3 linked regions of the Arabidopsis thaliana genome follow. The protein of the gene in region 1 interacts with the protein of each later gene in a pairwise test. Each region holds a gene or a part of one and is shown in the gene's direction. Other genes may lie near its edges.

Region 1 (6,787 bases):
AGTAAAACAGAACAAGTGAGTGTTTCTCTTCCGGGATGGAATCTCTCAATGATGGTGTATGTATATACAACAAATCTGAAATCTGTGACCTTTTCAAAAATTCTGTCTGCAATCTGAGTTCGATTCTGTTTTCAGGTAAACCATCTTCGTTGTAGGGTTTGGAAGCAGAGTTCTCTGTTTTCTTTACCACTTTTTTTTATCACACTTTTGCTTTGTTTTTTGTTTGTTTGTCTATCTGTGTGTCTGAGGAAGAAGAAGGTGTCTGAGAAAAAATGGGAAATTTGCATCTATAACATACAAAAAAACTTTAATTAAGTAACTAACCAAAACAAAAAATGTATGTGATATTCTGTGTATATTCTATAATATAGACCATCGTACCCCTTATATAAATATCACATACACTTTTTATCTTTCTTCTTTGTTTTCACCCTCACTCTCTTCTCTTTTTTTCCCAATATATCTCAGGATTTCTTCAGCTTTATTCTCACATGACCACTATTTATTCTCCTTGACCAAACTCTAACCTTAATAATAATACTGATTCTAGATCTGCTTAAGAGTACTTGTAACTGTATTTGTACTATTCTATTTTGCTGCCATACAATTTACGTTTATACGGTAAAACTAGTTGGTTTGATTAAGTATTAATTATGATTGAAAAGATTAATAAATTAAAGAAACTTGGATTGAACCCTTTTTATTCAATCTCTTTAATTTCAGCTAATAAGAATTTGCCACCAAATAAAAAAAATCATTTAATTAGAAAATCTAATATGCCACCAAAACAAAATTATATATAAGTTGATTTATGAAATATGATTAGGGTTTAAATTTTATGATTAAATATAGTGAAATATTGGTTTGAGTTTATAATCAAGTTTAGATTTTACAAAAAAATGAGGTTAAATGTCGGTTGGGGTTTATAAACAGATTTAGATTTTATAATTAAACAAAGTTAAATATCGGTTTGGGTTTTGAAAATATGGTTAGAGATTAGATTTTACAATTAAACTCGTTTAAATGTCGGTTTGGGTTTACAAAAGAGAATTAGGGTTTAGATTTTGTAATTAAACTAGATTATGTATGGTTTGGATATATACTATAATTATTAAAGTTTAGATTTTATAATTAAATTATTTTTATTTATTTATTAGATGACATCTAATAAAAGAGGATGATAAAAGGGTTTGCCCCTAAATCCAAGTATTGTTCATAAATTAATGTAAAAACAAAATTATTTGGATATATTCAAATGTTAATTTTTAAAGATCGTACATATATTTTGTGAATTCTATATTATTTACACTTTCATATGGTATAATCTAACTCTGATTTCAAAACCAAATAGTGATAAAATATTTTAATCCAGGTTGATTCTAGTTATGCTACGTCATACCCACACTTACCTTGCCTCAATTATGCATCTCAAGCTTTGGAGGATAGTTTTGTATTTCCACTCATCAACATGGTTACTTACTACATTATGAGTATTATGGTGTTACTTTCTTAATATTTTATTGAAAAAGTGATATTCTTGCAATTGACCCAGAAAAAATCTGCAGGGAAATTTATTTTTTTGTACTTTTTTTTTTTCTTCCTTTTGTTATCTTTTTATAAACATTTTACTGACTTGTAACAGATATTCTTTTAATTAAATGTTTTTATTTTTCAGATTACCTTTATTTGTACTTATATATAGTTGAAAAACATACTAGAATTGATGTCTGAATAATCATTAACTAAAGGAAGTATAGCTTTGTCCCAAGCGCGAAATTAATTTGAATGTGTACCATATGAACAATAACAACAATCGAAATTAATACAGAATATAATCATAGTTAAAAGCTAATTAAGTCTGGAATATCAACGACAACAACTCTCGGAGGAGAGGCAGGAGCTTCCTCATTATGATCAAGTGTTATCAAATCAGAAAGCTTCGTCTCTATCTCTTCCTCTTCTTCTTCTTCTTCCTCAGCAATCTCTGTTCTCTCCGCACTTTCCTCAGACGACTCCATCGCCGTCCTTACGAGTTCATCGAGATGAATCACATCCGCTTCAGGAATCCTTACGAAATTAGGAATCTCTTGAGCATTAGAAACTCCCAAGTCTTTACAAAACTCAAAATACTTTTTTAGCTCTCCTCCTTGCTTCATGGATTTAGCAACAATCTTCAACGCCAAGTCTGCCTCTGTTTTACCTATCTTGGAGTGCACGTTAGGTAAAACTTCAGCAATACGACGACAAATCCAACCGTAAATCTCCATAATCTCACTAACCACATTCTCCATAGCTTCATTAATCACAGGTATCATCATGTTTTCACCAATCGGTTTGATTCTAATCAAAGAATCAACAATAATCTGCATCTTACGAATAATCACAAGTCGAATCAGAACCGATGATTCTTCGTTGTATCGATGACGATTCCCATCGTGAAACAGAATCGATCTTCGATCAAGAAACGCGAAATAAGCACGTACGAAGAGATTAAACCCACCGGATTTGCTCATAATCCGTGAATTACCTTCGCCGAAACTCGAAAGATCGAAAGGTAACCGTCCGATCGATTCTGCTACGGTTGATTTACAGAGGAAGAAGCCGTGCATTAGCATTAAGCCTTTTAAAGCAACCGCCCAGCTTCGCGTGCGTTTCACGCGAGACGAGATTAAGCTTACGAGAGGCTTGAGGCTTGACGGGCTAGAGAGAACGTGACGGTAGATGAATTGAGCGCTCTCTGTATCAATGGAGAGCTCGTCGTGGCTTGTAGCTTTCACAACGGCTGCTGTGAGAATGTCATCAGCCGCGATGAGACTAGGTCCGTCTTTGAGAACTACGGCGGCGCGTTTCCAAAGCTTCATCTTCCGACTAATGTGTGTGGTTTCAAATTGTTAGTTTCTATTTCGCGCTTTATAATTTTCATTTTAAACCGTGTTTTGTTTTCTTTGATGTCAATTCTTTGCTGGTTTAAAACGAATTAGATAAGGATAAGCTAAAATTAAGAAATCTCAGTTTTGACCAAAATAAAAAAAGATATTTTTGATGTCGTTACTAAATTATTATCTTCCATTTTTCAGTTTAACTCGATTGATTACGTAATAAGTTCATTAGATAAGTGTTGTTTGGTTGGCTTTTCTATATGTTTCGTTGATTTTGTTTTGAGGCAATTTTCTAGTGTAGTAGTGTTGTAATCGTATATAATGTATGTGGTTTGAGCAAGTCAAATTATGACTTTGTTTGTACAATATGGAAATATACATATCTTAATTATTAATGGTGTGATTGATATCGTTAAGCCGTAAAATAATCGTTTAGCTTGCTAAATTACACACAAAACATAAAGTAGGCAAATGAACATATACGATAGTGAATAGTCAACTCGTGGGTCACACAATTGCTTTTTTGCTAAACCTCTTAAAAGAAAGCGTTTCAGACTTCTTTTTGCAATAAAATCAGATTCTTTGAAAACTTTTGATCTTTGCTTCTTAATTATAGTTTCATTTTAGTTACAATATATTATTGATATTTCTCAATTTTACAAAATTAGTTTCTTAAATCTTACTTTTATAAATCAAAATACTTCTACTTATTTAGAAACATGTGACCTCTATACAATCCAAACTTATTAAATTTGTTTATACCTATATTAAAAACTTATTACTAATATATTAGTACTAGTTTACTAGTACTAATTAGCCGCTATAGTTTTACAAAAAGTGGTTTAGTTTTCTTATTCCTCATTATTGCTACTACACTTAACCCAATGGATTGAAAGAGTTAACTATGGGTAGAGATGACAACTTTATGAGCTGAGAGGATACGAAATTATGGATGTGTAGAAAAGCAAAGCCAGTGAAACAGTTCAAAAAGTGGGTTTTTCACATTTATTATGACAACTAATAAACACGTAAGTACAAAATCTTAAAGCAAGTAAGTAACAATAATTTTTGCTCTTTTTGTAACTCCCAACTCTTTCTGACACAAAAAAACACCATATCATAACTTAAGTAACCCAAAACCAAACTCTTCCAAAACAAACCCTAAACGCAAAAATCATTACTCAAAAAAAAACAAAGTCTCTCTCTTCTAATTAGAGAGCCAAGAAGATGCAGAGTACTTGTGTCTACAGAGAATGCATGCGCAACCACGCCGCGAAGCTCGGCTCTTACGCCATCGATGGCTGCCGTGAATACTCTCAACCATCCACCGGCGATCTCTGCGTCGCCTGTGGTTGCCACCGCAGCTACCACCGTCGTATAGACGTCATATCTTCTCCTCAAATCAATCACACGCGCTTCCCGTTCACGAGCTTAAGGCGCGTGAAGCAGCTGGCGAGGCTGAAATGGAAAACGGCTGAGGAAAGAAATGAGGAGGAGGAGGATGACACGGAGGAGACTTCGACGGAAGAGAAGATGACGGTGCAGAGGCGGAGGAAGTCAAAGTTCACGGCGGAGCAGAGAGAGGCGATGAAAGATTACGCGGCGAAGTTGGGATGGACGTTGAAGGATAAGAGAGCGCTTAGAGAAGAGATAAGAGTCTTCTGTGAAGGGATTGGTGTTACTCGTTATCATTTTAAAACTTGGGTTAACAATAATAAAAAGTTTTATCACTAACTAATTAACTAATATCCTTAATTGAGATAATACTATAATTTAGTTCCAATTTCATTTTCATCCCTTCTGTGTTAATTTCTCCTCCTTGATCGCTTATTTTAATGGATTATTATTTTATCATTAGTGGGTTTAATGTGTTTGATTTGGACATGTCCTTAATTACTAACTGGTTCACTCTTTAATTGGTCTTTATGATTCTTCTTTTTACGTCGGTGGGATTTGAGTTTTGACAAGACAACTAGCTGACGTTTTATTTATGGTCAATACTGTTCGCCAATCAGAATATTTATACGTAATAATATTGAAGTAGTTGAATAGTAGTACTAATTATTATGGGAAAGGATGGCAAAATGACATTTTGTTTTGATAGAAAATTGTAAAGATTACATATCTAATTCTAAAATTTGTAAATAATTAATGGTAAGATATATTTCACGTAATGAAAAGACAATTAGTTACGGAAATAACACAACATTGTGTTTTTTCGAGGTTTGTTACTAAAAATTATAATGACATCATCAAAGCCAATAAAAGCTGTTATGCTTTTTTTTGTAGAAATAGTCATTTCAAAAATAATTTTTATACTTTTTGCTTTTTTATAAAGTCGTAAAACCATATACTTAAAAGTATATACCAATAAAATTGTGAACTAATTGATTCATAAAATTGTAACTTTGCTACCATTATACCAAGCATCCCATTCCCACGAAAGTTTCAACTTTAATTGGGCTTTTGTTGGCATTTCAAGGCCAATAAGAACACCTTTGAGAAAACTAAAAAACATAGCTCTAGTCTACAATTATTCTAGTGTTTACCTACTGATTTAGAAAATGATTAGGATTTAGGACCAGGTTAACTAAAACCAGAGACAGTCTTGCCCGGCTCGATCTGAACCAAGCTTGCCCGTAATCTCAATCCAACGTACAAAAAACAAATAAACAAAACTGTATAAAAAAGTTTCACCATACAAATTGTAGACATGATTACTTGATTAGATTCAAATACTCGTTAAGATTTGCCTAAACACAGATTACAAGTGTGTTTTGTGAAATCAATTCGTTGCGTAATTCTTCTCCCTGAGACTTTTCTTGCCAGAAAGTCCTAGAAATCACTGATGTCGGTATCTTCGCTGTCTGAGCTACCATTCTGTGAACTGCTGTCACCTAAGTCCTTTTTCTTCCACACGAATGGTAACAAAACCTTTCTTGCATAATCCACACCGTACACGACGGCTATAGCCACAGCAATAGATCCGAAGATCTTGGCGAGTATTACACAAAGCCTGCAAAAATAACACAACAAAATATGATTCATCACCTCACCTCCCAAAGTAAGTGTATAACAAAAAAACATGAGTCTGTCCTTACTCTGACTGTGACTTCATGTTATTAACCATCTCATCAAAGGAGCTCTCTTCACTAAACACTATTAAAGACTGTTCCTTGGATTTTTGAATCATGAGATTACCAGCTTTGTCTCTAACAGCCTATACAACAGTACAACAGAAGAGGGAAAAAAATGTAACTGAACTAACCGCTAAAACGCCACTCTTGCAGGATCCACATTTCCTGAATAAAGAAACAAGTCAAAAGGAACACTTCCTTTACCTCACCAACAAAAGTCAAAGAGGTACCAACTTTAAGAGCCTGCCCAAAGATAACCTAAAGAAAAACATCACGTTGTTGGTTTCAACTTTCAACACAAGGAATTAGAGGTTTTCTAGGGAACAAAACAGAGAAGGAGAAAACAATGAAGGAACAAAGAACCTTAGAGCCTTCTTTGGGTGAACAAAGACTTTTGAAGGATTCACCAAGTGATTTTACTTCATACGGTCTTACAATTTCATTAAAACCTAGAGCACCTTCAGCTCCCACTACATTCACCCGACCCGTACTGTCTTCCTAATTGTGTGTGTGAGACACACAGAGAGAGAGAGACAACAAATCAAGAAGGCAGGCTTAAGTCGTGGGTGGGGGGGGGGGGGCAAGAAATAGCAAATGAGTTGTATTTTACCAGATACCAAGGAGTCTCCTTTCGTTGTAGAAGAAGATTTACAGACTTGTTTATCAAACCACCATCTTCCAACTTGTTCTCATAAACCACTTTGGCCCGAAGACAGTATATGTGTTATGACTTATGACTACACACCACCAAACCAGAGAATTTAAGCACAC
Region 2 (9,169 bases), on another chromosome or scaffold:
TATGTCTAAGCTCGGTTTCCGCATATGCTTCACTCATTTATATATTGCGACAAGTTGATTATGTATAAGCTAGTTATCTTTGTGCTAATCCAATCTTCTATTCTAGGATGACACATGTTTAGGTTCACTAACAAAAAAAACACATGTTGAGGTAGATTATGACATAAGTTGGGCGGCCTTATTCAAAATGGTGCTTTACGAGTTAATTGTGTTAATGCTTGATCAGATTATTCCTCTATGTACACAGATATTGGTTTTAACTCCATCCGTCCATCTTGAAAACAGCGTTTTTGGATAATAATGAATAATCGATCTCTATAATGTATATTATTAGATTCATGTATATCTTGTACTTGTTCCTTTGGAATCTACATGTCTCTTTATATGTTTAAATGTTGTAAACGTTCCAGTTTGTTCAATAAAGAATAGATTTCTCTGCAATAAGAGCATGGTTAGTTTATTACACATTCACACCATGTAATGCTCTAGTTCCTCTTCGAAATTTGACACAAGATAACAATTATCTTTGAGATTTATAAGTTTCTTAGTAAGATTAGATACGATCTTTCATATGCAAACATCTATAAACACTGTTATTGACGAAAACTAAAATAAAGTAAGCACAATTATTTTCAGTTTTTCTTTTTAAATTGTGCTTACTTTCATATACTGTACAATTGAGTTTATAGAAAATTGGTTTCAAATTTCTAAAATGAAATACAAGGAATTTCTATTAGGAAGTAGACTTGCTATTTTAACTTGTAATCACAATAAAAATATCTATATCTATGTGTGTGCGAAGTGTGAACTGTGAATGGGTCTTGAATTTGTCACCGCCGTTTCTTTTAGGGTCAATGAGTATATCCACTAAACCCATCTTACACTTTTTTATATCACTTTTTTTTTTCTATCAATAACAAAAAATTCTATAAAACGTGTTTTAACCATTATAATTGTAAACCCTAAACCCCACGATCCTACACTTTTTATATCACAACTTGTGTGTTTGCTTAAAACGTTGTTAATAACCATTATAATATATATCTAACATAATAACATTAAACTTTTTAATTAGTCCAAAAAATGAACTTACAAATTATTATCTACTAATAACGATTTCAATGAGGTATGCAGCATGTTGTTGGGTTTGTTTTGAGAGTGACGCAAATCTGTCTTTTCTCCAATCTAATCAAAGATACATAGCGATTCGGTGACATCAATTCTAGAACCAAAAAGATTTGATTAAACAGAGAAATTGACTTAATATGCATTTATAATATAAGCTCTTATGTTGTAGAAAAATCCAAACCTGTTCCACAAGCAAAAACTAAGCTGTATGGGACCATGTTGATATAGACTAAGACCCTAAGCGATATGTACAAATACAGGTGTTATACATAGAAAGAAAAAGAAACCGTTTTTTTCTTTTTCTTATATCTAATTCATATACAGCTAGATATACATGTAATTTAAAATGTTATCTTTATGTAGTAATTTATTGCGAGGGATGAAATATCTGACGGAGGTTTTATGTGAAAACTCGAAGGTGTATTTGATTTTCGGTCAAATATATTTTAATGGCTCTCTCGTATATTGATGATCACGGCTCGGTACATTGTCCTATTACGAACTCGATAAAATTAATTATATTATTTTGTTGTGCAAATCCGATTTAGTAGCTCGTCGTTTGACCCTATATTGAGACATATAAAACATATAACAATTTGCAATAAATAATTAGTTGTTTTTGTGTATTTCTAGTTAAAAAAAAATTGAAAAAATTGTGATACAAAGAATTATAAAAACGTTGACAGCAACATGACTGACTAAACGAAGAAATATCTTACGTACATTACATTTTTTTTGGGGTCAACACGTAGATTATAAATTCAACAAATCCTTAATACGAGAGAGGTAAGTATATTATGGCCCATCAAGAAGGATAGTGGCTTATGGGCCTATGTTATAATATGAAATAAAAGCCCAATTATAAATGAATTTTTATATACTAGAGTGCAAAGTCTGGGCCCAAAGTAAACAGTCTAACGTGTCTTGTCGTTTGATTTCCTCCACTCTAATTATAAATTAATTAATTACGGGGAAAAAGATTAATTAACTTTAGTGAATCCATCATCAATCAAAGACTAATAAAATAAGCGTGAAGGACAAAAGCACTACGGGTCTCATTGTCTTGTCTCAACCCGCATTATTTGTACTCGCAAATGCTGCTAATCTGATCTACTGTTTACTTTTGCATTTTTGTAATAATTTATCTGTATTACTATTATTGTTTTTTACCAATCACTTTTTAATTAGACACATATTTTCATGTACTCATAATTTTAAATATAATGTCTGATGGTAGTTGTAGTAATTTGAAATAATTAATATCCTTTACTTATTATACAGACGATTAAACAAAATATGAGAAAGAGAAAATCAAAACTTTTTACGGGGAAGGTTAAGAAATGCCGTATTATTATTCTGGACGGTGAATATTTTTCTTTTACTTTCCTCTTTGTGCATAAGGTGTTAAAGACTTTTTTTTTTGATTAATCGTCTTTAAATCTTTGGTAAAAGGAAAGAAAAAAGGTTAAAAAGAATAGAGAGGGGTAAAAAAGAGATAACGTGAGTGGTACGGAAGAGTGATGATGAAAAAAAAAGAGTCAGAGAAGGTCATGATGATGATGAACGGACACAGGCCTCTCTTACTCTCTTACCATCAAATCCTACGGTCAGATTGAGATATTTTGTGCTTCCCATGCGTGTTCTTCAATCCCATTTCACCCCTTTTGTTATTATTATGCTCCCCTTTCCCCAATTCCCATTACCTTCCTTTTTTAATTACTTTGAATTTTTTACAGTAATTTTTTTTATGTATATTACACCCGACTATAATTTTTTTCTTTTTTTCTTTTTAACACGAAAAGAATGTAACCGACTATAAAAATTAACATACATAATTTACCTGTTTATTACCAACGAATTTACTTTTTTACTTTTTAACCAATCATCCTTATTACTATGGATTAAACGTTGTGTATGATGATCGTAACAGTGCAATTCAGACATATTTAATACTCCAGAAATATGTATGTTGTTCACATTCAAATTTTGTACTTCTAACAATAACACCACAAATTATACTTTCAAAAAATGAGATTTTTTTTTTAAACTCAATTCGGACAAACTTGTATGTATCTAATTTTTGTCATGACTATAATTTTGTTTCAATCAGTTTACTTATTTAAGTGCAAATTCAACAAAAATAAAAAACAAAAATCTAGCACGTGACGTAACCTTATGAAAAAGATTAATCTATAGTCATTATTAAAGTTACTTATACTATTTACCCATTCATCTATCTAGAAGACTACAATGAATGCCAAACCAAAAAAAAAAAGCAAAATGAAAAATTCAAGTTTGGGGGGACTAACATTTCTCAATGGGCCCCATCCAGTTGGGCCAATCTAAGTAAAAAAAATTGAAAGATAAGGAAACGTAATAATGAAAGTTAAAGAAATTAGGAAGGTGGCGGAATTTAATTAAATTTAATCCGAAAGAAAGAAAGTGATTATAAAAAAAGATTAACAAGTCTTAATTAATTTTAGATTAATAAAGTAGAGATAGAGAGAGAAAGGAAGAAAGTGGAAGAGGTTAGATGTCCCATTCACCACCCGGCAAACCGACTTGGAATGCCGCTTTCTTGTCCCCTCCTCACTCCTCTTTTTCTCTCTTTACCATTTTACCCTTCATTCCTCAATCACATTATCATCACATAGAGGTTACATTAGTCATTAAAAACAAAAGGATAGAATCGGAATTTAATATTTGCAGACAACCATCCCCTTTCGGGTGGAGCCAGAAAAGTGGCATAATTTTGTTTAAAGATCCGACTCCCGACATTTGTACATCAACGGTTCATATCTGCTGATTTAAATCCGACGGTTTAGAATTATCAGCACGATCAAATCTGAGCCGTTGGATTAGAATCCATTCGTAAATAAAAATACGCAACTTTTTCCACTTATTTTCTATTCTACCACTTTGTTTAGTTATTTTAATTTTAATCTCGGCTACGAGTTTCTGGGTAATGATAATTAAGCTTTTTTCTGCTTTAATGGAAGGACCTTGACACTTCTCTCTCTCTTTCTCTTTGCTATTCATCTTCTACAGTTTCTTAAAAATTATACTCTTCTTCTCCAAAATATCTCAGACTCTCTTATTTTTGATCGTCTTCTTCTTCTTCGTTGTGAGCTTCCATTTTTCATCCAGGATTTGTTTTTTCCGTTTGAGGTAATTATGTCTTCTCTGTTCTTCTTATACATAGTTTCAAATCCGGTAATTTTTAGCTTGTTGTTGTTTGTGTGTGTAGTTAGTAGTTATTAGATCTATTAGCTATTGAGTTTCTTTGCTGATTTCCTCACTATTTCTATGGCGAATTTTGGTTTGTTTGAGCTGTTGGCTTAAACCTTGCTAGGTTTAGTGATTTGTAGATAGAATTCTGTGGAAATTCAAATCTGAGATCAGCTCGAAAAATGTAACTCAACGGTGTAGTTTCTTCATCTGACCTTAAGTTGACTTCTATTTATTTTTAGCTTTCCATTTTTTTCTCAGATTGAGCTTTATTTTGCTCTAAATTTTGGTTGTGAGTTTTTCATAGATGCAATCTACTTTTGAAACCCTAATTGATACGGTTTCGAGTTTCTTCGAATTTTGATTGAAATTGAGTTCTTGATTTTTTCTGGTAATTTAGGGTTTTGTTTGAGGATTTGTTTATGGTTATGTGAATTTAATGTGGAGGACTTTGTGCTGTGTAAATCATCAGGTAAAGCAGCTTTGCAGTTAAAGAAACCTTGAGTATCCAATGTCCCCGGAAGAGGAGCTACAGAGCAATGTATCGGTGGCTAGTTCTTCACCTACTAGCAATTGCATCTCCAGGAACACTCTAGGAGGACTTAAAGAGCATAACTACTTGGGTCTCTCTGATTGTTCTTCTGTTGGAAGCTCTACTCTCTCTCCCCTTGCTGAAGATGACAAAGCTACTATCAGCCTCAAGGCTACGGAGCTGACACTTGGTCTTCCTGGATCACAATCTCCTGCGAGAGACACAGAGCTTAACCTTTTGAGCCCAGCAAAGCTAGATGAGAAGCCATTCTTTCCTTTGCTTCCTTCTAAAGATGAGATATGCTCCTCCTCGCAAAAGAACAATGCATCGGGAAACAAAAGAGGCTTTTCTGACACAATGGATCAGTTTGCTGAAGCTAAAAGTTCAGTGTATACTGAGAAAAACTGGATGTTCCCTGAAGCAGCAGCCACCCAGTCTGTAACAAAGAAAGATGTGCCACAAAACATACCCAAAGGACAGTCTAGCACTACAAACAATAGCTCTAGTCCACCTGCAGCCAAGTATGAATAGAAGATAGGAGCATTCGTTCGATTTTGATATGGATTACTTTCAACAGCTAGCTAACTGGTGTTTTTTCGGATTCTGGAATTTTCAGGGCACAAATTGTCGGTTGGCCTCCAGTGAGATCCTACAGGAAGAACACATTGGCCACTACTTGTAAGAACAGTGACGAAGTTGATGGGAGGCCAGGTTCTGGGGCTCTCTTCGTGAAGGTCAGTATGGATGGTGCTCCTTATCTGAGGAAAGTTGACCTGAGGAGCTACACTAACTACGGGGAGCTTTCTTCAGCCTTGGAGAAAATGTTCACCACTTTCACTCTTGGTGAGATGTTTCAGTGATTGCTAGTGATGTGTTTGAAAACCTCTTTCTATTTAAGGATCAATGAATGAGTGCAGTCAAAGTAGTTAACCTGCACTGTTTATTTGATGTTTAGGTCAATGTGGATCTAATGGAGCTGCTGGGAAGGATATGCTTAGTGAGACCAAGCTCAAGGATCTTTTGAATGGAAAAGACTATGTGCTCACTTATGAGGATAAGGATGGTGACTGGATGCTTGTTGGAGATGTTCCGTGGGAGTAAGTTTCCTCTCTTATATTCAAAACTTGTTAGAAGCTTTCTCTACTCTCTGCCAGATATCTTAGAATCAAATCTAACATGCCATAGAAGATTATATCATGGTGATTGGTATAAGCGCTCATGAGTGATTTCTGATCCGATGTATATTACAGGATGTTTATTGATGTCTGCAAGAAGCTGAAGATAATGAAAGGGTGTGATGCTATTGGGTTAGGTAAAGTCTATTCTTCTCTCTGCTCCTAAGCTACAACGTAAACTACTATCTCTACTAAAACCGATTACAAGTAGTGTGTATGATGAGATTAGTGGTTTGTTGGTGTGAGTTACTTGTAGCTGATTTAGAAATTTCAATTCATGTTTGATCACTCGTCTTCTTTTGGGAGTAAATACAACAAATTAACATGTAAATAAAATCGAAATTAAACTGATTTCAATTCATGTTTGATCACTCGTCTTCTCTGATTCAAAATGTCTTAATGATTCAATGTGGTGAACTGGTGATATTGCAGCTGCAGCTCCGAGAGCAATGGAGAAATCGAAGATGAGAGCTTAAAAGATGGAACATGACAAAGCTTTCTAACTATACAAAATATGTGCGATCTTTTGGTGGTGTTTTTAAATTTCAAAACATCAATATCTTTAGTTTCTGAATTTTTAAAATGAAGTAAGTAAGACTACGAATGTAAGGAAATGAAGAAGAATTAAAAATGATCTATTTTTGTTGTTTGTTTGTTGCTTTAGTCAGTAAACTGGTCGTTGTTTTATGTTTTGTGTTTGATTTGGATGTGTGGTTGACTTCTACCTTTGAGATATTATTTGATGTAACGTTTTTGTTATTCTCTTCTTTGCTTCTTCTCGAGAAGAGAAGATAGACAATCCGGTTTTACGATTTGGCTTTCTATCATTGAACATGGAGGTTCTTCTTCTGCATTTGCAAAACAATCTTAAATATTAATCAGTACTTAAATCTTTGAGGTGGATTGTTAAATTCTAACACATTTGAATGCGGAAGTGGTAAACCTACGTTTTTCTCAATGTCTATGACTCTATTCTAAATGGAATATCAAGATTAATCAGAAAGAAAAAAAAATCTTTTTATAACTGTCATAACTAAACTGTGCTACCAAATCATTGCCACCAACGGATCTTTAAACCAACTTGAATAATTCACCTGAAGAACCAAAAGCTACAAGACAAATCAAAGATAAATAAAAGTAATTTCGCCGGGAAAAGGTTTTGATATCATTATTTCACTTTTTAACCTTCCATGAAACTTTGTTTACCTTAGCAAGCATGGGCTGCGTACAAACTCATGATAACTATATAGTACAATCCCCAAACGAAGATATCATAAATTTCAACGAATCAGTTTTAGATTTAGTGAATAACTATAGTTTAATAGTATCGAATAATATCGTTTGAGAGAAAAATAGTCAAAGATACATGAACATAAATTCCCATATACTAATTTCCCATTTCTCATTCAAGGAACGTTTATTATTTTTCTGTTCCTGAAGGTGGAAGCATAGTGCGCCTCTTTGGGTTTGGCAATGGTGGTTTGCTTATTTGTTTTATGAAAATTATTTTTGTGATATCATTTATTGTTCATTTTTAATAATTCCGTTAGCGTTGACAAAACAATATGATTAAACCCCACCTAAAATGAAATGTTATATTCAACTGTCCAATTTTTCAAAGAGGCGTTAATTAATCAATTCCAAGGCATATATTCGATCAAGATAATTAAAGACTCATATAGTACTCTCATAGTTTAAGAGAACCTACGGGTCGAATTTAAATCACTCTTGTTACTTTAAAACTTTAATCCAAATAATGTAGTATATATCTGTGATTCTTGTAGCTAGCTTCACGTGAACTTAATAGTATACACATAAACAACAATCATTGGTCGTGAATCTCATTTAATTCGTTTCGCTTTGATGCACTTATTCGAATGGGACATACTATATACATCCATATAAGTTGATAAACTATATAGTAATATTCAATGTTTTTAAAATTAAATATATGAAATAGACTTAGGGAATGACATGTCGAATTTGTCTCCAAAAGATATGAATTGAATTATGCTTCTCAGTAATGGAACGTGGCAATACCTTTATCACTCATCTATATATGGTTGTTCCCCAAAATTATTTCTTCATCAAACGAGAAAAATAAGATTGTAAATGTAAATGATTTGATCATCTCAATGTTGCATTCAAGAATAGTATCTATAATATTTAGTTATAAGCATTAGGTATTAGGTCAATTATATTCAACTGAGTCTACGAATCGAATTGCATATTGCGTAAAAATTCAAATAAAAGAAGCTAGATAAATGAATATACGTACGATTACGAGAATGAATGTGTGTTTCTTCGATTTGGTAGACCTTCAACAAACCCACCGAATTGATGGTATCCATAGATTTCTTATCAGTTATCAGTCATGGGAGAGATTTACGATCTCATATATATGGACAAAATATATCGTATCAGCATTATTATTGATTTATTGTTTAGTTAAGTTCTTTTTTTTTTGGTTTTTCCTTTTTTTCTTTGAAAGGTTTGATTAGCAGTTTTGTCCGGACAGACCAAGTATATATATACAATAATTGTGATTGTGTTAGGACATTCAAAATCTTCCATACAGTTTTCGAATTAAGTTGGTATACAAGTTTTTCAAATGTTAAATCAAATCCAACTAAACTAGATTTGTTAAGGATACATAGGATCATCTCTCTTTAATATCATAATATTCCTCTATCTCCTTTATGGAACATTCTATATTTGTACAACCCTAGTGTAGCCTCCTCTGTACTTGTATATATACTTGTGTAAAGCTATTCGTATAATATAAGTCATTACATTCTTAACATGGTATCAAGAGCCTAATAAGAACATTGTTGGTTGTAAATGGGTATTTAAAAACAAATTTCTCCCTAATGGTTCTCTTGGCAGGTGCAAATCAAGGTTTGTGGCAAAAGGGTATAATCAACAACTTGGCCGTGATTATACAGACACTTTCAGTCCTGTGATCAAGTCGACCACCTTACGTCTTGTTCTTGATGTTGCGGTAACCCGATCGTGGCCAATCCGACAATTAGACGTCAACAACGCCTTTCTTCAAGGCACCTTGAAAGAAGAAGTTTACATGGAGCAACCTCCTGGGTTTATTGAT
Region 3 (6,357 bases), 2.0 Mb from region 1:
GAACCAACCGGTACGGTTCGGTTTAGAAGAACCCGACGATTATCTGAAAGTTGGAACCATTAATGGAGGCGTCAATCAGAAAACTTAAACTTGCACTCGTCTTCCACTTTGATCCACTTAAAGCAGCTTTAAAGCTTTGAACATGTTTAGCTATAATCCCTGAGGAACTATCCTCATGTCTCTCTCCAGTTGCTTGCTTCCCTTTTCTCAATCAGCGACGGCTCCGTCTTCCTCCGTCTGCTCTTGCCATCTCGCCGCCTCTTTTTCTAATTTTCCGGTAAGCACATGTATTCGCTCTACCTTTCATGCATGCTTTCGTTTTATCAAAAGGTCATTACTTTGAGAAACAAAGATTATTATTTTTCTTGGATTATGCTAATGTTTTCTGCAATCTCACCAAAGATCTCAAATTCGTGTTACATGCCCTCTGAATCTAAGCTTTAGTATATTATTGACCTTCGAAATCAACTTGATTTCTAGTTGTTGAAATTTCTCTATTTTGTGTGAATAGGTTTCGTCAAGAGACTATAGTTTCTCCAGAAGTGGAAGCCTTGTTCTCAACGGAGGAGGCTCGAATCTCTGCCGGAGATTCTGTGGTTTGAAACTGTGGATACTTAAGAGCTTGAATCGTAGACAAGGCAACAACAGAAAACATCAGCCTGTAAACGAGCTTACAACACACTCAAAGCACACTTTCCTCAGCGATGATGAACGAGGTCTAGTTCTAAGATATGAGTCAATTTACATCTCATGTCTTCACTTGATCATTCTTTAGCACTTCCTGAGGTAGAATGTGATGCAGGTTTTGCTGAAGAAACTAGAGCTGAAGATTTACGACCAGAAGAGAATATTCTGGGAACGGATTTGAATGATGGGTTTCACAATGTTGGAGACTTACCACCTGTGTCAAAACAACTCTCGGATGATCTTTCAGATGTTCGAAGAAGGGCCTCACTTTGCATTGCTGTTGTAGGAGCCACTGGTGAGCTAGCAAGAGGGAAGATTTTCCCGGCATTGTTTGCGTTGTATTATAGCGGCTACCTTCCTGAGGTATGACTTTTGTGCTCATGAACAATTACAAAGTAAGCAGCAAAACAGTTGGATAGTTTTTTTCGGTTGTCTTCTTGATTGGTCTTCATTGTCACAGGATGTTGCTATATTTGGGGTTTCAAGAAAGAATCTGACAGATGAAGACCTCAGATCCATCATTGCATCAACGCTGACTTGCCGTGTTGATCATCAGTATGTATAATTCTTGGTACTACCTTAAATTTGGTATCTCTGATATACGGCCGTGCTAGCTAAAGAATGATGCTAAATGTTCAGGGAGAATTGTGGGGGCAAGATGGATGCATTTCAGAGTAGAACATACTATATCAATGGAGGTTATAATAACAGGGATGGGATGTCCCGACTTGCCGAGAGAATGAAACAGATTGAGGTTCCTAAGTACCTTTTTTTCTTTCTTTCAATGATTACATTTTGTCCCAGAAGTAGTCCTCTTTCTGAGTTTACAACATTTTGAACAGACAAGCAAGATAGAATAAGACATTAACAGCTTTTCTTCTTCAGGGAGAATCAGAAGCAAATAGAATCTTTTACCTCTCAGTACCTCAAGAAGCTCTGGTGGATGTGGCATGCACCATTGGAGATAACGCTCAGGCACCACGAGGCTGGACTCGAATAATAGTTGAGAAACCTTTTGGTTTTAACTCACATTCGTCTCATCAGTTAACAAAGTCACTTCTCTCTAAGTTTGAAGAGAAGCAAATCTACAGGTCCTTCTTTTAAATCTAGTTGCTTTCTGCATGCACAGCTCTCAAGTTCATATTTCTTCACACTTCTGTGCCCGTTACAGGATAGATCACATGTTAGGAAGAAACCTCATTGAAAATCTGACAGTGTTAAGGTTTTCAAATCTAGTTTTTGAACCACTATGGAACAGAACATACATACGCAATATACAGGTAGTGTTTCCTTCTGATTGTTTGTAGTTGTGTATAGTGCCTGAACTTTCCTCTTCCACATTCTGGTTTGTTCACTTTGTGTATAAATGATGTTTCCAGGTTATTATATCAGAATCAATTGCGCAAACAGAAAAGTAAGGCACAATAGTTCTATTTTCACCATTTCTTTGCATGTGAGAGTAAATTGTGTTGTTTCAGCATTCTTAGACAAATCAGTAATGTTATTTTCTAATTTCCTACTGCTTTTTTTAAGGTTTTCTGATGGATATGGAATAATACGGGACATAGTGCACAGCCATATACTTCAGACAATCGCATTACTTGCCATGGAACCTCCGATAAGTCTCGATGGTGAAGATATCCGAAATGAAAAGGTCAACCTGTACTGTAAAGAACAAAATCGTCTTATGGTATATATGTAAGTTGTGTACTCTTGTTCTGTCAAGTGACTTGGTGACAAACCTGCTTCTGCAGGTGAAGGTTTTAAGATCAATTCGCAAGATAGACCCGCGTGATGTCATCCTTGGCCAGTATAAATCCAGTTCCCGAGACAAGAACGGTGTGATCTTGAACGGTGTAGACCCTACATATTGTGCAGCAGCCTTGTATATTGATAATGCACGTTGGGATGGTGTACCTTTCCTTGTAAGAGTTGGCACTGGCCTCATTAAACACAGGTAAGAATAATTATTCCTACTCATAGACATATCCAACTGTCATAACAATTGATTGGTGTGCCTTAATGTTGAAAGAGTGGAGATTCATGTGCAATTCCGGCATGTTCCTGGAAACCTATACCGAGAAAATATTGGAATAAACATAGATTTGGGGACAAATGAGCTTATTCTACGTGACGAACCTGATGAGGCCATCCTGGTGAAAATCAACAACAAGGTTCCTGGTTTAGGTCTTCAGCTAGACGCTTCTGAACTTAACTTGCTCTATAAAGACAGGCAAGTTTTGCATTCTCATCTTTGTTCCTACACATTTTAAAAATCGAACTTTTGCGCCTTATGGTTGGTTGAATTGTTGGATCAAACCTGTAGGTATAAAACCGAAGTACCAGACTCATATGAACACCTAATTCATGATGTAATTGACGGAGACAATCATCTGTTCATGAGAAGCGATGAGGTTGCAGCAGCATGGAACATTCTTAGTCCGGTTCTAGAAGAGATAGACAAGCATCACACAGCTCCGGAGTTGTATGAATTTGGTGGACGAGGACCAGTTGCGGCATACTATCTTTGGGCCAAGCACGGTGTCCCATGGGCAGATGACTGAAGAAGAAACATAGATGCAGCAACAAACAAATGAGAGTGATTCTGAATGGTTATTGTGAAGTGTGTTTGTTTAGCTTGAAGCTGTGCCATTCCCTGTAGACTGTACATATGTACACATGTATGTCATGTTGCTATATGAATGTCCATCATGGTGGGGTCCATAATAGTGTTGAAAAGTCTCCAAAGCCACCCAAAGGAAAGAAGAAAGTCTGAGAGACTTTTAGATAAGGTCATGTTGTTAGTCTTCCCACTAGAGGCAATAATTATATCTTCTCCACCAATTCCTCCAGAAAATTCTTCCAGATGTATCATGTGTTGATGATCAAAGTAGGATGAAAATGATGTAACTAAAGAGAAACATTTTCATAGGGGAAGGAAGAGAGAGCGGTTCAATGGACAGAGACAGAAAGAGGGTGAAAATGGAGAAGGAAGATGACGAAGAAGAAAAGATGGAGAAGTTGTACACAGTGCTTAAAAACGCAAGGGAAATGCGGAAATATGTCAACAGCTCCATGGAGAAGAAGAGACAGGAAGAAGAAGAAAGAGCAAGGGTTCGTAGATTCCCTTCGTTTCAGCCAGAAGATTTCATTTTCATGAATAAAGCAGAGGCCAACAACATTGAAAAAGCAGCTAATGAGAGCTCTTCAGCATCCAACGAGTATGATGGCTCTAAGGAAAAGCAAGAAGGATCTGAGACTAACGTTTGTTTAGACTTGAATCTTTCTCTGTAGCATACATACATACAAGAGACAAAGAGCTCTTCAGTTTCTGTATAAGCAACAAAGAATGTTAGTAACTACGTACCAAAAACAAATGTGTCATGGAATTCTAGTTTTGCTTGAAGATTGTTCATCACTTCTTATTAACCATATTGAAGAAAATGCTACAAATGCACATTGATAACAAGATCAGTAAAAAAATATATATATATTAGCAGAAGAACTTAGAGAGAACTCTCATCAATGGCTGAGCAAGTTCCTATGGTTTGCGAGAATTACTCCATTTTGCCAACGCTCCAACGAGGATTGATAGCTAAGCCTAAGATTAAAAAAAAACATTCTGCTTGGCATTTATTGAATCTCACCAGTAATCTTTACAGGAACACTCTCCGTTTCTGAAGTGATGGAATCTGTTTGCATCTCTTAGAATGATCTCCCTCTCTTTCACCTTAGAGATTATTTTTATTGCTGTGTGGCAATCACTACAAACTCTAAGGTTCTTCATGACTCGGATGGGTATTCCTTCAGATAGCTTTAAAAGAGCATAAGCTACCGCTAGTCTCTCGCTATGATATTTCAGGCTATTGACTTTCTCTTCCTCGTCTACATCGTGCAATGCATAGCTGCAATCAGGATTATACCCGGCTTCTCTCAATAACCCATCCAATTCATCCAGTATCTTCAAAATAGATTCCTGCTCGGGATGGCTATTAATACCCCCACGAGTGAATGCATGCACCTTGTTCTCGACTTCAGTCCAGCTACAACCTGGTGATTTTCTTACCAACCTAGTCTTCATAAGTTTTCTCAGTTCTGCAACGTCAGCCCACCTACCTTGAGATGCATACATGTTGGAGAGCAAGATGTAAGTCCCAGAATTCTCCGGTTCAATCTCTATGAGTTTCTTCGCACAAAATTCTGCCACATCCAGCTGCGAGTGAGTTCTGCACGCTCCTAATAGAGAACCCCAAACTGCAGCATCTGGTTCGACAGTCATACTATCAATCATTTCCATTGCCTCATTAAACCGTCCTGCACGCCCAAGCATATCTACCATGCAAGCATAATGCGCGGTGATTGGCTTAACCCCAAAAACTGATTCCATAGATTCATAGATCTTAAGCCCTTCCTCAACCATCCCAGCGTAACTACATGCTGAGAGAGTTGCAACGAAGGTGACTTCGTTAGGCTTAGTACTACCAGACAAAGGCATCTCACAGAAAACCTTTAATGCTTCCTCTCCAAGACCGTGTGAGGCATAACCAGATATGATTGAATTCCACATGATAATGTCCTTTGAAGGAAACCTGTCAAATATTAGTTTAGACTTCACAAGCTCGCCGCATTTAATGTACATTGTCATTAAAACAGACGCAACATACACATCAACATCAAATTGACATCTAACCAACTGAGCATGGACCTGTTTACCATGGTGGAGGCTTGCTAAGCTGGCGCAGACCGAAAGAATGCTTATCAATGTTGGAAAAGTGGGTCTAACTCCCTGTTTCTGCATCAGAATAAATAAATCAAGAGCCTCCAATTCAAAACCGTTTCTTTCGTGAATTTTGATCACCGTTTGCCAAGATGCATCATTTCTCTCCTTCATTGAATCAAAAACCCTTCTTGCTTTTGCTATCTCTCCTTTCTGTCCAAGCCCGGAAATCATAGCATTACACGCAATAACTGGCTTCACTGGCATAACTTCAAAAAGTTCTTCAGCATCCTCAATTCGCCCATTCTGTACATAGCCCATAAGCATGGAAGTCCATGAAACTTCAGTTTTCTCTGGCATCACATCAAAAATCTTCCTAGCATCATCCACACGATTGTTCTGCCCATATCCTGTGACCATTGTAGTCCAAGTAATCACACTTCTCTCTGACATCTCATCAAAAATCTCTCTTGCCTCATCCACTCTTCCTTCTTTGCACAATCCATGAATCATACTAGTCCTTGCAATATTATCTTTATCCGGTATCATTTCATACAGCTTACACGCATCATCGATTCGCCCATCTTGCAAAAACCCAATAAGCATCACAGTCCAAGAAACCTTATTCTTCTCAGGCATTTTCCAAAACAACGACTCTGCCACATCAACCTTACCATTGTGCACATACCCTTTCACCAACGCCGTCCATGAGACAACATTCCTCTCAGGCATTAAATCAAACACTTTCCTAGCTTCGTCAATCTCCCCGTTCTTCATATACCCGGACACCAAACCATTCCAAGAGATGATGTTTCTGTCAGGCATTTCATCGAACAGTTTCCGTGCATCTCGGGGCATTAGATTCGCAAAGTACCCAGCAACCATAGAGTTCCAGGAAGAGATTGATTTCGAGTCACATGAATCGAAAAGCTTCCGAGCTTCATGAATCTTGC

What was found.
Region 2: the proteins of HB32 (region 1) and IAA9 interact in binary tests that used the Arabidopsis thaliana proteins (3 or more experiments, as listed by UniProt).
Region 3: the proteins of HB32 (region 1) and NIMIN-3 interact in binary tests that used the Arabidopsis thaliana proteins (3 or more experiments, as listed by UniProt).

The regions. Positions count from the first base shown.
Region 1 is NC_003070.9:5,043,940-5,050,726, forward strand, and holds HB32 (homeobox protein 32), read left to right. Parts: upstream 1-3,842; 5' UTR 3,843-4,106; coding exon 4,107-4,613; 3' UTR 4,614-4,814; downstream 4,815-6,787. Other genes in the region: AT1G14686 (ENTH/ANTH/VHS superfamily protein), read right to left, coding at 1,842-2,861; AT1G14688 (E3 ubiquitin ligase), read right to left, coding at 5,715-5,895, 5,981-6,099, 6,221-6,274. UniProt on the Arabidopsis thaliana protein: Putative transcription factor.
Region 2 is NC_003076.8:26,249,596-26,258,764, forward strand, and holds IAA9 (indole-3-acetic acid inducible 9), read left to right. Parts: upstream 1-3,812; 5' UTR 3,813-4,296; intron 4,297-4,351; exon of another isoform or gene 4,352-4,540; intron 4,541-4,828; 5' UTR 4,829-4,867; coding exon 4,868-5,409; intron 5,410-5,504; coding exon 5,505-5,731; intron 5,732-5,843; coding exon 5,844-5,985; intron 5,986-6,138; coding exon 6,139-6,200; intron 6,201-6,495; coding exon 6,496-6,539; 3' UTR 6,540-6,949; downstream 6,950-9,169. UniProt on the Arabidopsis thaliana protein: Aux/IAA proteins are short-lived transcriptional factors that function as repressors of early auxin response genes at low auxin concentrations.
Region 3 is NC_003070.9:3,035,534-3,041,890, reverse strand, and holds NIMIN-3 (NIM1-interacting 3), read left to right. Parts: upstream 1-3,482; 5' UTR 3,483-3,642; coding exon 3,643-3,981; 3' UTR 3,982-4,137; downstream 4,138-6,357. Other genes in the region: G6PD4 (glucose-6-phosphate dehydrogenase 4), read left to right, coding at 176-277, 512-716, 803-1,050, 1,148-1,242, 1,327-1,441, 1,573-1,778, 1,859-1,967, 2,067-2,101 and 4 more; AT1G09410 (pentatricopeptide (PPR) repeat-containing protein), read right to left, coding at 4,331-6,357.